Linked DNA regions of Macaca fascicularis. The protein of the gene in region 1 purifies or fractionates together with the protein of each later gene. This does not show direct contact. Links are inferred from orthologs where the notes say so. Each region holds a gene or a part of one and is shown in the gene's direction. Other genes may lie near its edges.

Region 1 (6,733 bases):
GTGGCGCACACCTGTACTCCCAGCTACTCAGGAGATTGAGGTGGTAGAATCGCTTGAACACGGGAGGTGGAGGTTGCAGTGAGCTGAGATGGTGCCACTGCACTTCAGCCTGGGTGACAGAGAGAGACCATAGCTCAAAAAAAAAAAAAAAAGATAAAATGTCATCCTCACATCAGCCTTTTGTTGTGAAAAATAAAATCAAGAATTTACTCAAAGCAGTCAGAACAGTGCCTGACAGTAAGTCTTGTTAAAGTGTTAGCTATCATATATTATAGATGAGCACAATGTATATCATTATTAAATGTCAGCTTTATTATTATTATTTGTTTTGAGACAGAGTCTTCCTCTGTCGCCCAGGCTGGAGTGCAATGGCACGTCTTGGCTCACTGCAACCTCCGCCTACTGGGTTTAAGCGATTCTCCCGTCTCAAAGCGATTCTCCCATCTCATCCTCATGAGTAGTTGCGATTACAGGTGCGTGCCACCATGCCCGGCTAATTTTTGTGTTTTTAGTAGAGACGGAGTTTCACCACATTGGCCAGGTTGGTCTCAAACTCCTGACCTCATGATCTGCCCGCCTCGGCCTCCCAAAGTGCTGGGATTACAGGTGTGAGCCACCGCGCCCGGTCAGCTTTATTATTAAATGTTAGCTTCATCTGCTTTGTACACTAATGCATACCCAGTGCCCAGAACAGTGCCTGGAACATACTAGGTGCTAAATAAATATTTGTGACTTAATGCATGAATGAGGGTGGACTTCCTTTCTTTTGCTCTCACTGGAGAGTTGAACTCTCCTTCCAACGCGGGTGGGGTGGATATTGGCGTATTCAGGGCCATCAGGGCTGAAGTCAAGGGCTTAGTGGGGCTTAATTTGCTGGGGGGGGGGGGCCCAGGACATGGCCCTCATTGTTTCTCTAGAAGGAAAGGTCCAACCCTCAAAAGACCTTCCGGAATCCCGCTGAAAGTTAAGTTGGGAAGGAAAACCTGCATGCGTATGTATCAGGAATTAACGTCTTTTGTCTTGCTTTGTTCAGTAGTTTCAAATTGCCTTCTCCAGGCAAGGCTGATGAAAGTGCAAGTTGCAAGTTAATTTGAATTTTTCTTTCTGCTTTTGCTCTCACAGGAAGTGGAAAGGCAACCAAACACTCTAGCATTCATGCCACCAAAAAGAGGTTTTGCAGTTACAAGACCTGGATTCGAATCACGACTCCTCCTAGCTGCCCTGTAATCAGGCACAATTACTTGGGTCTCTGAGTCTCACTTTTCTTATGTACAGAACGGAGATATGTTTACCTCCTTCGTAAGACTGATGAGAAGGAAATTATCTGTGCATTTTGAAACCACTTAAGCCTTGTACACGTTTTATTTCTGGGATCGCCACTGGTTCCCTGGTAGGGCTTCAGAAAAATAAAAAGGAGGTCCCTGAGCAAAGGCTGGGGGGCCCTTCATCTGAGGCCAACCCTCTCTTGTCCCAAGGATGGCCTGGACTGCTCCGCCCCGCGGCTCCCCAGGGGCAAAGCCGCGAGGGTCCGGGTGAGAGCCCAGTGCTGGACCAGCTCGGCGCTCAGGGGTTCCGGCCGAAATCCCTGCTGTCTTTCAGGTCAAACGTCATAATTCCCGAACCTCAGAAAGGCCGAAAAGCAAGGCAACCCCGAAAGACGACGAAGTCAACACCAGGGCGCAGGGCCAGTGTGCTGACGACGAGGGAGGCTGGAGCCGCGGGGACAAGGCGCCCCATACAGCGGCAAGAGGGCGGAGGGCAGGAGCTCGCCGTCCTGGGTGAAAGCGGGGCCCAGCGAAGAGGCCCGGCCACAGGAATGTCGGTTCCACCCCGCGACTCCCGGCGGTGACTCCAGTTTTGTCCCCAGCCGCCCGGCCCCGCCCCGCCCCGCCCCCAGCGGGCACTCAGGCCGTACCACTGTGCCTTCATGGGGGTGGAGTTAGATCGTGGGCTAGTCCTGCCGAGGAGAGAGGGGTTCTTCCCCAAAAAATATCATTATGTATAGTATTTGCATGATTCTAGTTAGCTCGTTTCCCATCTGCATGCTCGGAACCTCTACCTGCGCTAGGAAGGGGGCGGAGCGCTTTCCTTCCTCCCCCTGCTCTTCCGCGTTTGGTGCGCGCCTGCGCGGTGCGTAGGCGGCGGGACGTACTTAAGCTTCGACGCAGGAGGCGGGGCTGCTCAGTCCTCCAGGCGTCGGTGCTCTGCGTTGTTGGAATCTTGTTGCTTGCTTGGCTGTGCGCGCGTGCGCCGACATGGCCTCAAACGGTAGGTAAGGGCGCGAGGCGGCGGCGGCGGCGGCGGCGCACCGGGCCGAGGCCTCCCACCTAGGCTTTTCATTTTAGGTGGGACCGGGGTGGCGATCCTGTGTGGGATTCTTTCGTGCCCCTGTGGCGGGAAACCGCGGAGAGGGGTAACTGGAGGAGGCTGGTGTCGCCATTTTGTTTCGCTCCTCTGGCCCTCGCGCGCGGGGCGGCAAGTCTTCTCTTCGCAGTCCGTTTGCTTGGGGTGGTCGTTGGGAGGGACGCTTCTTAGGGGTTTGAAGCATCAGGTGAGGGTGGAAAATGCCCGGTTTCCGTGGCCTCGCCTCCCCCAACTCCCGGCCCCGCGCTCAGGCCCGCTTTGTCGCAGTGCTGCATCCGGGCACTCGCGGCGCGCACGCGCTCTGCGGGCCCCTCCCCCTTCGCGGCGCGGGTACCCCTTCCCCGCCTCGTGTCGGTTCAGCTTTTTGTCGCGAGACCCTTCGCGGAAGACTTGGCGGCGCGCGTCCGGTGTGAGCCTTGTTCCTCTGTGGTCTTTCGCGAAGGGGCGGGACCGCTCCATTCCCGCCTCGGTTGCCACGCGGCTGGGGGCGGAGGCTCGGTATCTGGGCCGCGCTCCGGCTTAACGGTTTGGAGGAGGTGGTCGTGGTTCCACCAACGGACTCGGGGACCTGGCCCGAGAGTTTTTCCCGCCCCAATTTTTTTTTTTTTTTGAGTCAAGATCTCCCTCTGTCGCCCAGGCTGGAGTGCAGTGGTGCGATCTCAGCTTGCTGCAATGTCCGCCTCCTGGGTTCAAGTGATTCTCCTGCCTCAGCCTCCTTAGTAGTTGGGATTACAGGCGCCTGCCACCACAGCCCGGCTAATCTTTGTGTTTTTTAGTAGAGACGGGGTTTCACCATGTTGGTCAGGCCCGTCTCGAATTGCTGGCCTCAGGTGATCCGCCCTCCTCGGCCTCCCAAAGTGTCGGGATTACAGGCGTGAGCTTCCACGCCTGGTCTAAATTTCTTTTTTCTGAGATTGGGACGGAGAATAACAGCCGTCGAGGCCACACCCTCTCCTGGTCCTTTCCCTTTTCCTGCGGGGGAAGCGCCGCGTTTCCTGCGCTGGGAGGATGAGTTGATCTTGTTCGTGTATTTAAAGTGGGGCGTTTCAAAAGGGCTTTCGTTGCTTTTGGTTCGCCCAGGGGAAGGCAGGGTAGATGAGAAAACAGAACCATCTGGAGCCCCACGGCTGGGGACTCGAGTACCTGTTGACTTTGGCCTCTTAAGGCGAGCACTTGGATGATCTCTGTCATTTGGGGTCCAAGGGCTCTTGATTCTCTGGCTTTGCACTAAAAAGGCCACTTCTTCTCCGGAATTGGTCAAAGAGTGCAGAATGGCCTTTTTTGAGACATTCTTCTGTGGGTCTGGGCTGAGAGAGTAGAGGCCACAATCTGAACACTGCTCGAATTCAGACCTGTGCTACTTGGTAGCTCTACGACTTTGGGCGAGTTAGTCTGTTTTGACTCCTGGCAATAATGGCTTTGTTATAGAGTGGAAGAAGCGAATGCGCGATGTTTTAGAGCAATCACTGACATGAATTGGTCTTGCAGAAAGTTGTGGCTGTCCACCAAGACCTTGGTTTTTCCAACGGTTAAGGCTTCTGGGACTCTGTAGAAACTTGCATTTTCTTCACTTTTTCTTTTTTGTAAGAACACTTGGCTGATAGGCCAGTTTGCTACTCTTCTCAACCAGTGTCTCAATGGGGGAATTTTATGCCCTTTATTGAAACGTGATGCTTTTTTTTTTTTTTTTTTTTTTGAGACGGAGTCTCGCTCTGTCGCCCACGCTGGAGTGCAGTGGCGCGATCTGCAACCTCTGTCTCACGGGTTCAAGCGATTCTTCTGCTTCAGCCTCCCAAATAGCTGGGATTACAGGCGTGCGCCACCATACCCGGCTAATTTTTTGTATTTTTATTAGCGATGGGGCTTCATGTTGGTTGGAATTCCTGACCCCAAGTGATCCATCCACCTCGGCCTCCCAAAGTGCTGGGATTATAGGCGTGGGCCACCGCACCTGGCCTGTGTGGTCCTATTTATTCATCAGTGCTTGAGTTAAGGAATTTAGCTTTAATTCAACTGTTTCAGAGTGGCGGCTGAAGATAATGTGATTGTATTTTTTTTTTTTTGCAGATTATACCCAACAAGCAACCCAAAGGTGAGTGCTGTTTTTGGGCTTCCAGAGTTTGTAGAGGGGAAGGGTGGTCAAGCTGTGTTTTCTGATCACGCTGGTTTTCCTTTCATCTAGCTATGGGGCCTACCCCACCCAGCCTGGGCAGGGCTATTCCCAGCAGAGCAGTCAGCCCTACGGACAGCAGAGTTACAGCGGTTACAGCCAGTCCACGGACACTTCAGGCTATGGCCAGAGCAGCTATTCTTCTTACGGCCAGAGCCAGAGCAGTGAGTCTTTCTCAGCAGGTCACCTCTTCCTGCTCTTTCTGAATATTGCTTTTCTTTTTTTTCTTTTTCTTTGGGAGACGGAGTCTCATCCTGTTGCCCAGGCTGGAGTGCAATGGTGCTATCTCAGCTCACTGCAACATCCGCCTCCCGGGTTCAAACAATTCCCCTGCCTCAGCCTCCTGAGTAGCTGCGATTACAGGCACCTGCTACCACGCCCTACTGATTTTTGTATTTTTAGTAGAGATGGGGTTTCACCATGTTCGATAGGCTGGTCTAGAACTCCTGACCTTGTGATCCACCTGCGTCAGTCTCCCAAAGTGCTGGGATTACAGTTGTGAGCCATCACGCCCTGAATGTCCCTTTTCTTAAACCTGAGCAGGACTGAAGTGTTGAAACTCTTCCATATTTCTTTTCCCTAAATGAGTGTATAATTCTTAAAACTCTTTGGGATCTGAGTCCTTTACAGGGCATTGTGGCACACCTGTAGTCCCAGCTACTGAGGAGTCTGAGGCAGGAGGATTCCTTGAGTTCAGGAGTTTGGGGCTGCAGTGAGCTATGATAGTGACTGAACAGCGACTGCATTCCAGCCTGGGCAGTGTATTGCGGCCCCATCTCAAAAAACAAAAATGTTTTTTGGTTTGTGATTCTGTTTACATTTGTTTTCTTTGGCTTTTAATTTTTATGACTCTCATTTCCCATCTCAGCATGAAAGAGCATATTTTCTAACGGGAGAACCAGTTTTAGGCCAATTCTTAAATGGAGAAAATGGTTATGCTTGAAACAAATGTATGAAATCATGTGATACATAAGGAGGTGGGATTGCCCCAAGGTCCTGAAGTGTAACTAAGAAAGGTGGTTGTCCTGTACGTAACTGCATGCACAGCTGCATATCACAGTGCTGTTAACAGGAATCCTTGGGCTTGGGATTAGAGGGTGTTGGGGTTGGCGGGGTTAAATTGGAACTGTCTTAGAGAGGATAGAAGTTGGAGCATTAACTTTGGGCTTTGAAAGGAGGGTAACTATGAGTTGCAAGATTATGAACAGCTTCTGAAAGGCTGACTTTTTGAGTATAGGTATTAGGTTGTATATGTTTTAACACATTTCTTACATTTTCTTTTTCCTGGTGGCTTTTGTGACTTCTTTTTTCTTGTAGCAGGCTATGGAACTCAGTCAGCTCCCCAGGGATATGGCTCGACTGGCGGCTATGGCAGTAGCCAGAGCTCCCAATCTTCTTATGGGCAGCAGTCCTCCTACCCTGGCTATGGCCAGCAGCCAACTCCCAGCAGCACCTCGGGAAGGTACGGTGGTGTCGATGTCGGGGAAGGCTTGAAAAGAGGGGTGAATTGATGAGGAATGATAAAGGGACCAGCAGCAGTAGGAGCAGTTTAGAGGTATAATTGGGGTAGGGGAGCCTGTGTTGAGTACAGAGAATGGAATCCACTAAAAGGAAATTGGGGGGCTATGCTGGGATTGTGATTGTGTTTTTTGTTTGTTTTCCTTAGTTACGGTAGCAGTTCTCAGACCAGCAGCTATGGGCAGCCCCCGAGTGGGGGCTACGGCCAGCAGCCTAGCTATGGTGGACAGCAGCAAAGCTATGGACAGCAGCAAAGCTATAATCCCCCTCAGGGCTATGGACAGCAGAACCAGTACAACAGCAGCAGCAGTGGTAGTGGAGGTGGAGGTGAGATGTCCTCAGCTTTGTCTGCAGCCCATTTTCTATAAGGATTTGTATTCTGTTTTAGCCTAAAAGGGTTCCTGTTTTATTTCCTAGCTGTCTTTTTAATTTCTTTTGTACTTCATTGCCTGGCACTTGTCATACCTTTTTGTGCTACTTTACAATTTTTTTTTTAAACCATCCTTTTTTTTCTCACAGGTAGCTATGGCCAAGATCAATCCTCCATGAGTGGTGGTAGTGGTGGCGGCGGCGGCGGTGGCGGCGGCGGCAGTGGTGGTGGTGGTGGTGGTTATGGCAATCAAGACCAGAGTGGTGGAGGCGGCGGTGGCTACGGACAGCAGGACCGTGGAGGCCGTGGCA
Region 2 (6,166 bases), on another chromosome or scaffold:
CCACCGCGCCCGGCAATTTTGTTTTTTAATAACAAAATTCAGGCTGGGTGCGGTGGCTCACGCCTGTAATCCCAGCACTTGGGAGGCCAAGGTGGGTGGATCATCTGAGTTCAGCAGTTCAAGATCAGCCTGACCACCATGGAGAAACCCTGTCTCTACTAAAAATACAAAATTAGCTGGGTATGGTGGCACATGCCTGTAATCCCAGCTACTCGGGAGGCTGAGGCAGGAGAGTCACTTGAATCCAGGAGGCAGAGGTTGCAGTGAGCTGAGATCATGCCATTGCACTCCATCCTGGGCAATAAAAGCAAAACTCCATCTCAAAAAAAAAAAAGTCAAGCTTTCAAGCAAAACTTAGAATTTGGAAAACTTGTATCTACCACAGTAGGCTTGATAGCTTTTCAGTACTTAAAGTTGTGACAAAATTGATGGTGATATTAATAACTGATTTTTAATATAATGAAATGTGTTAACATTTGGATGATCTGTATGTAACCTCGGCGAACCAATATTTTCCAAATGATCTACATATGACATTACAAAGTCAAGCGTGAATGAAAGCTCAACTCAAAATACATGATAGACAAATGGATTATAATGTTACAGAGTGTAAAAACTTCAGTAATATGGTTTCTGATTACACAATGAAAATAACTTTTAGGAAATGACCACTTGTCAAGTTTTAGTGTAAAATAAAAAGTATCTGAAAAGGGCTGGATGCAGTGGCTCATGCCTATAATAATTCCAGCACTTTGGGAGGCCAAGGTGGGCAGATCACTTGAGGGCAGGAGTTCGAGACCAGCCTGGCCAACATGGTGAAACCCCGTCTTTGGGATTGGTGGCAGGCATCAGTAATCCCAGCTACTCGGGAGGCTGAGGCAGGGGAATCACTGAAATCTTGGAGGAGGAGGTTGCAGTGAGCTGAGGTCGTGCCAGTGCACTCCAGCCTGAGCGACAGAGGAGACTCCATCTCAAAAAAAAAAAAAAAAAGTATCTGAAAAGGCTACTAAAATACTCTCCTCCCTTTTTCAACTACGTATTTTTTCTTTTCTTTCTTTGAGATGGAGTCCTGCTCTGTCACCCAGGCTGGAGTGCGGTGACGCGACCTTGGCTCACTGCAACTTCCTCCTCCTCCCAGGTTCAAGGAATTCTCCTGCCTCAGCCTCCCGAGTAGCTGGGACTACAGGCGTGTGCCACTATGCCCGGCTAATTTTTGTATTTTTGGTAGAGATGGGCTTTCACCATGTTGGCCAGGCTGGTCTCGAACTCCTGACCTCAAGTGACCCATCTGCCTCAGTCTCCCAAAGTGCTGGGATAATGGGTATGAGCCACTGCTCCTGGCCTGGAGGCCAGATTTTCTTATAGGCTTAAATAAAACCAAGCTATTGCAACAATTTGAATATTGTATGAGCTATTTAAGTTAGACATTAATAAAGAGATTTGTGAAAATACAAGACAGTGTCACTCTTCTTGCCAATTTTTTTTATGTATCCAGAATTATGATTTTTTTTTTAACTGCCTATAGAGTGCTTATATTTTTCTTAAAAAAGAAGTTTTAAGAGCCAGGCATGGTGGCGCATGCTTGGAGTCCCAGCTACTGGAGAGGCTGAGGCAGGAGAATCACTGGAGCCCAGGAGTCTAGCCTGGGCAACATAGCAAGACCCTGTCACTGAAAAAAAAATTTTTTTTATAAAAAATAATTTAGCCAAATTGATAGGTGGTGGTGTGCTTATGTTTTGTATACCTAGTACAGTAAGCTATGAAAAGAATAATACAAGTGACTACTACTCTCTCTGGAATTGGAAATGCTTGGCCATACATTTTTTAAAAGTTACAAACAGCTCCACGTTTTTAAACAGAATAGAACTCCCTCTAAAAGCAGAACTATCTCCAAAAGAAATATTAGGAATGTTTTTAAATGCTTAGAGCTAGGTTAAACAGCTTAATTCAAAACATATTTAAATGTTATATGGTGAAATATCTTCTCTGTCCTCTGAGGTCTTTGGCATTATAGAGATTCCTTAGTCTCCTTCAAGCTTGTTCAAATTCGAGGTTTCCTTAAGAGTCTCTTTAGGAAGTAGGTTGGTGTTAGGCCAGGCACAGTGGCTCATGCCTGTAATCCCAGCTACTTGGGAGGCTGAGGTGGCATGAGAATTGTTTGAACCTGGGAGGCGGAGGCTGCAGTGAGCCAGGATTGCACCACTGCACTACTGGCTGGGTGACAGAGCGAGACTGTGTGTCAACCAAAAAAAGAAGTAGGTTGGTGTTTATATTGAAAATAGGAACAGAAAACAAATTATCTGTACTTTTTAGGATCTAAGTTGAGAATAAATTAATTTTTTTGCTTTCTCTAGCTGGAATGGCTTTACTTGTGTATTATTTGGAAAAGATTATTTTGCATTAAAGTCAAACTTACAGAATTGACTCTTGAATTCTAGACTAACTTTGAATAATTGGACCTGCAGATTGACTATCCACCATTTGAAAAAAACTTTTACAATGAGCATGAAGAGATAACCAACCTCACTCCACAGCAGTTAATAGATCTCCGACATAAGCTCAATCTTCGGGTAAGACAATCATTAAGCTCAGTATTCTTATATCAATGTTAATTAGTCCAGATTTAGTATTATTATTGGTTATCTAAACTAATAACCTTGAATTTCTTTTCTAGTGATCTCTGAACTGTCTTTGCCAGAATAATTATTATGTCCCTTCTGTTCACGTCTCTTAATTTGATTGTTTTAGTCTTCTAGATGCTGTTTTAGGATAAGATCATTTTCTTCTTTCATATTTCAGTGAATTTTGTATGTTCTGTGCTGGATGGGCTAGTGATGAAGGGTGGGAGTCCCCATCTAAAGGAAGAGGAAACAAAATTAATAGATGTTAACATATGATATCTTAGAATATTTTGAAATTAATATAAACTTGTCTGTCAAATTACATATAGTATGCTTTATTTTAAAAATTAGAATAAATTAATACCTTTTAAAATACACATGCACTGATTTCAGAATGGTTTAAACTGCCTACCAAAAGTTTTGAGCTGCACATTGGCTACATTGGTTTAAGGTGCTGATAGATGGTAAATGAAACACACAGAAAGAATATGCTATGCTATCTACTCTTAATATAGACAACTTTCTTGCCTGTGTGCACCTTATCAGTTGCTACACGATGTTTAAACTCCTGTTTTCCAGGAGGGGTGTGTATTTGGTGTGTGTACACTTGTCTGTTTTCCAAGAGGTACTCACCTCCCCAATGACCCAAGAAAATTTTTAAGTAAAACGTTTAACATTTTTTTCACTTAAAAATTTTTAAGTGAAATCCTGACTGGAAATGTCAGCATCACCAGAGGAGCGTTGAAAGGTTACTACTTTGGGGGACACAATGGAGATTATAAGCCCCATTCTTCACCTGGGTACAGTTTGAACAGGGCTTGACAGTGGCTAGACCATCAGTCACTAAGGGAGACGTTAATTCATCAGGCACAACTGAAAATGGAGGCAGTAGATTATGTCTTTGTAGCCAGCATATGTAGAGTTGTCTTATTTGGAGCCAACTTGGAATTTTCATTTCAAAAGTAAGATACGTTAATTTTTTTCTACCCTCTGGTTAATGGTTATGTAAAATGGCAAAAGAAAGAACAGTAATGACTTCCCAATTCATTGAACAGTTTTTTTTCCATTTTGTTTGTTATGAGAAAATTAATTTTGATTTAATAAATTTTTAGTTAATCATTTAAAATTGTATGACAATTATCTTGGGAATATTTGTCATGGAGTTTTTAATATGGGGTTTATATTTGTTACCATTTGAGGTTTTGCCTTTTCATTGTATGATTTTGGCTTACAGACTTGTATTTTCACTTCATACTCCAGCTAAAATGCTAGATCCAGGTAAGTATTGTTGAACTTCAAATGCTGTTAATGTTGAAGTACAAGTCATTCTGGGGAGTTGTCTCTATCTCTAGGTCTCTGGTGCTGCACCTCCTAGACCAGGAAGTAGCTTTGCTCATTTTGGGTTTGACGAACAACTTATGCACCAGATTCGGAAATCTGAATACACACAGCCCACTCCAATACAGTGTCAGGTACGTAAAACATAATGAAAGAAAAATAAAGTAGGGTAATCTTTTGTGACTATATTAGTTTAAAAACAAATCACAGTAGTAAAACTGTTTAGTGTAGAACCTTATTGATAAGGATAGAGGTATTTATTACTCTAAGAAGTCACTAAATGGCTGGCAAATATTCTTTTGTATCTGATACATATCTTGAAAATATGATATGAAGAAAATAATTTATTAGGTCTAAACGTAACCATAAAGGTTTGTATATGGACAAGTTTAGTGCTGTCAATGACTAGAATTCCCTTGTCCATCACTTGAAAATTCTCATTCATTACTGAAAGTTTTAGCTTCTTTTTCCCATTTATATATGGGACTTATTTATTCTTATGAAGAAAATTCTCATTTTCTGTATATGAATGAGATAGTCTATACCTCCTCAAGGGGAGAAAATTTTTAAAAATTTTAGCAACCCTTCATTATAAATTGCGATCTTTCTGGTTTTTTTTTTTTTTTTTTTTTTTTTTGAAGACGGAGTCTCACTCTGTTGTCCAGGCTGGAGTGCAGTGGTGCGATCTTGGCTCACTGCAACCTCTGCCTCCCAGGTTCAAGCAATTTTCCTGCTTCAGCCTCCCGAGTAGGTGAGATTACAGGCGTATGCCACCACACCTGGCTAATTTTTTGTAGTTTAGTAGAGATGGGGTTTCACCATGTTGCCCAGGCTGGTCTCGAGCTCCTGAGCTCAAGCAGCCTGCCCACCTCGGCCTCCCGAAGTGCTGGGATTACAGACGTGAGCCACTGCCCAGCCTTGATTTTTCATTTCTGTATTTTAAACAAAATGGAGTTGTTTCAGTTCTGTAAGTGGTGGCTGATATCCACATAATGAGAATGATGTCATTTCCTATAAATTAAGAAGTTAATGAGAATGTTGGATATTGATATTTCTATTTCACAACCAGTATGCATAGCACCGGATATGTTTTGTTCCATTGCATATAAAAATGTCATTAGTAGTCATTTATCCTTCCCCAGGATTTGCTTCAGTACACCTTTAGAATTGAAATTTTAGAGTGGTTATATTTTACTTTTTCTCCAGGGTGTGCCTGTGGCATTGAGTGGTAGAGACATGATTGGTATTGCTAAAACAGGTAGTGGGAAAACTGCAGCCTTCATATGGCCCATGTTGATTCATATAATGGACCAGAAGGAGTTGGAACCAGGTGATGGACCAATTGCAGTGATTGTGTGTCCTACCAGGGAGCTTTGCCAGCAGGTATGTGCTTTCTATAGAATGCCTCCTTCCATATGTGGACTAGCAAGGGACCAGCCAGTCAAGTGAGGTAGAACGACCAGGAAACCTTTTTTTTTTAATTGCAGTAAGATACACACAAAATTGACTATCTCTTTGAGACAGAGTCTTGCTCTGTTACCCAGGTTGGAGTGCAGTGGCGTGATCTCCGCTCACTGCAAGCTCCGCCTCCTGGGTTCCCGCCATTCTCCTGCCTCAGTCTCCCAGGTAGATAGGACTACAAGTGCCCACCACAACGCCCAGCTAATTTTTTCTATTTTTTAGTAGAGACGGGGTTTAACCGTGTTGTTAGCCAGAACAGTCCCGATCTCCTGACCTCGTGATCCACCCACCTCGGCCTCCCAAAGTGCTGGGATTACAGGCATGAGCCACTGCATCCGGCCAACCATTTATTTATTTATTTATTTATTTTTATTTTTTTGAGACGGAGTCTCGCTCTGTCGCCCAGGCTGGAGTACAGTGACGCGATCTCGGCTCACTGCAAGCTCCGCTTCCCGGGTTCACGCCATTCTCCTGTCTCAGCCTCCCGAGTAGCTGGGACTACAGGTACCCACCACCATGCCCGGCTATTAGTAGAGATGGGGTATAACCATGTTAGCCAGAATAGTCTCAATCTCCTGACCTCCTGATCCACCCGCCTCGGCCTCCCAAAGTGCTGGGATTACAGGCGTGAGCCACCGCGCCCGGCGTCTTAACTGTACATTTGTAATGTACAGTTTGGTGGCATTAAGTATATTCACAGTGTTGTGCTACCAGGAAACTTTGGAAAGTGTTATGTGTTAAATATT

The links. Proteins that work in one complex are often made in the same cells at the same time.
Region 2: the proteins of FUS (region 1) and DDX42 purify together in Homo sapiens (affinity purification with mass spectrometry; 3 studies listed by BioGRID and IntAct, with this or other methods). This does not show direct contact. The link is inferred for Macaca fascicularis from reciprocal best matches to the Homo sapiens genes FUS and DDX42.

Annotation. Positions count from the first base shown.
Region 1 is NC_088394.1:29,366,324-29,373,056, forward strand, and holds the start of FUS (RNA-binding protein FUS), read left to right. Parts: upstream 1-2,179; 5' UTR 2,180-2,255; coding exon 2,256-2,268; intron 2,269-4,431; coding exon 4,432-4,456; intron 4,457-4,546; coding exon 4,547-4,716; intron 4,717-5,851; coding exon of another isoform or gene 5,852-5,854; coding exon 5,855-5,996; intron 5,997-6,200; coding exon 6,201-6,379; intron 6,380-6,571; coding exon 6,572-6,733. UniProt on the Homo sapiens protein: DNA/RNA-binding protein that plays a role in various cellular processes such as transcription regulation, RNA splicing, RNA transport, DNA repair and damage response. Binds to ssRNA containing the consensus sequence 5'-AGGUAA-3'.
Region 2 is NC_088390.1:70,307,916-70,314,081, forward strand, and holds part of DDX42 (ATP-dependent RNA helicase DDX42), read left to right. Parts: intron 1-2,465; coding exon 2,466-2,570; intron 2,571-3,973; coding exon 3,974-4,093; intron 4,094-5,165; coding exon 5,166-5,342; intron 5,343-6,166. UniProt on the Homo sapiens protein: ATP-dependent RNA helicase that binds to partially double-stranded RNAs (dsRNAs) in order to unwind RNA secondary structures. Unwinding is promoted in the presence of single-strand binding proteins.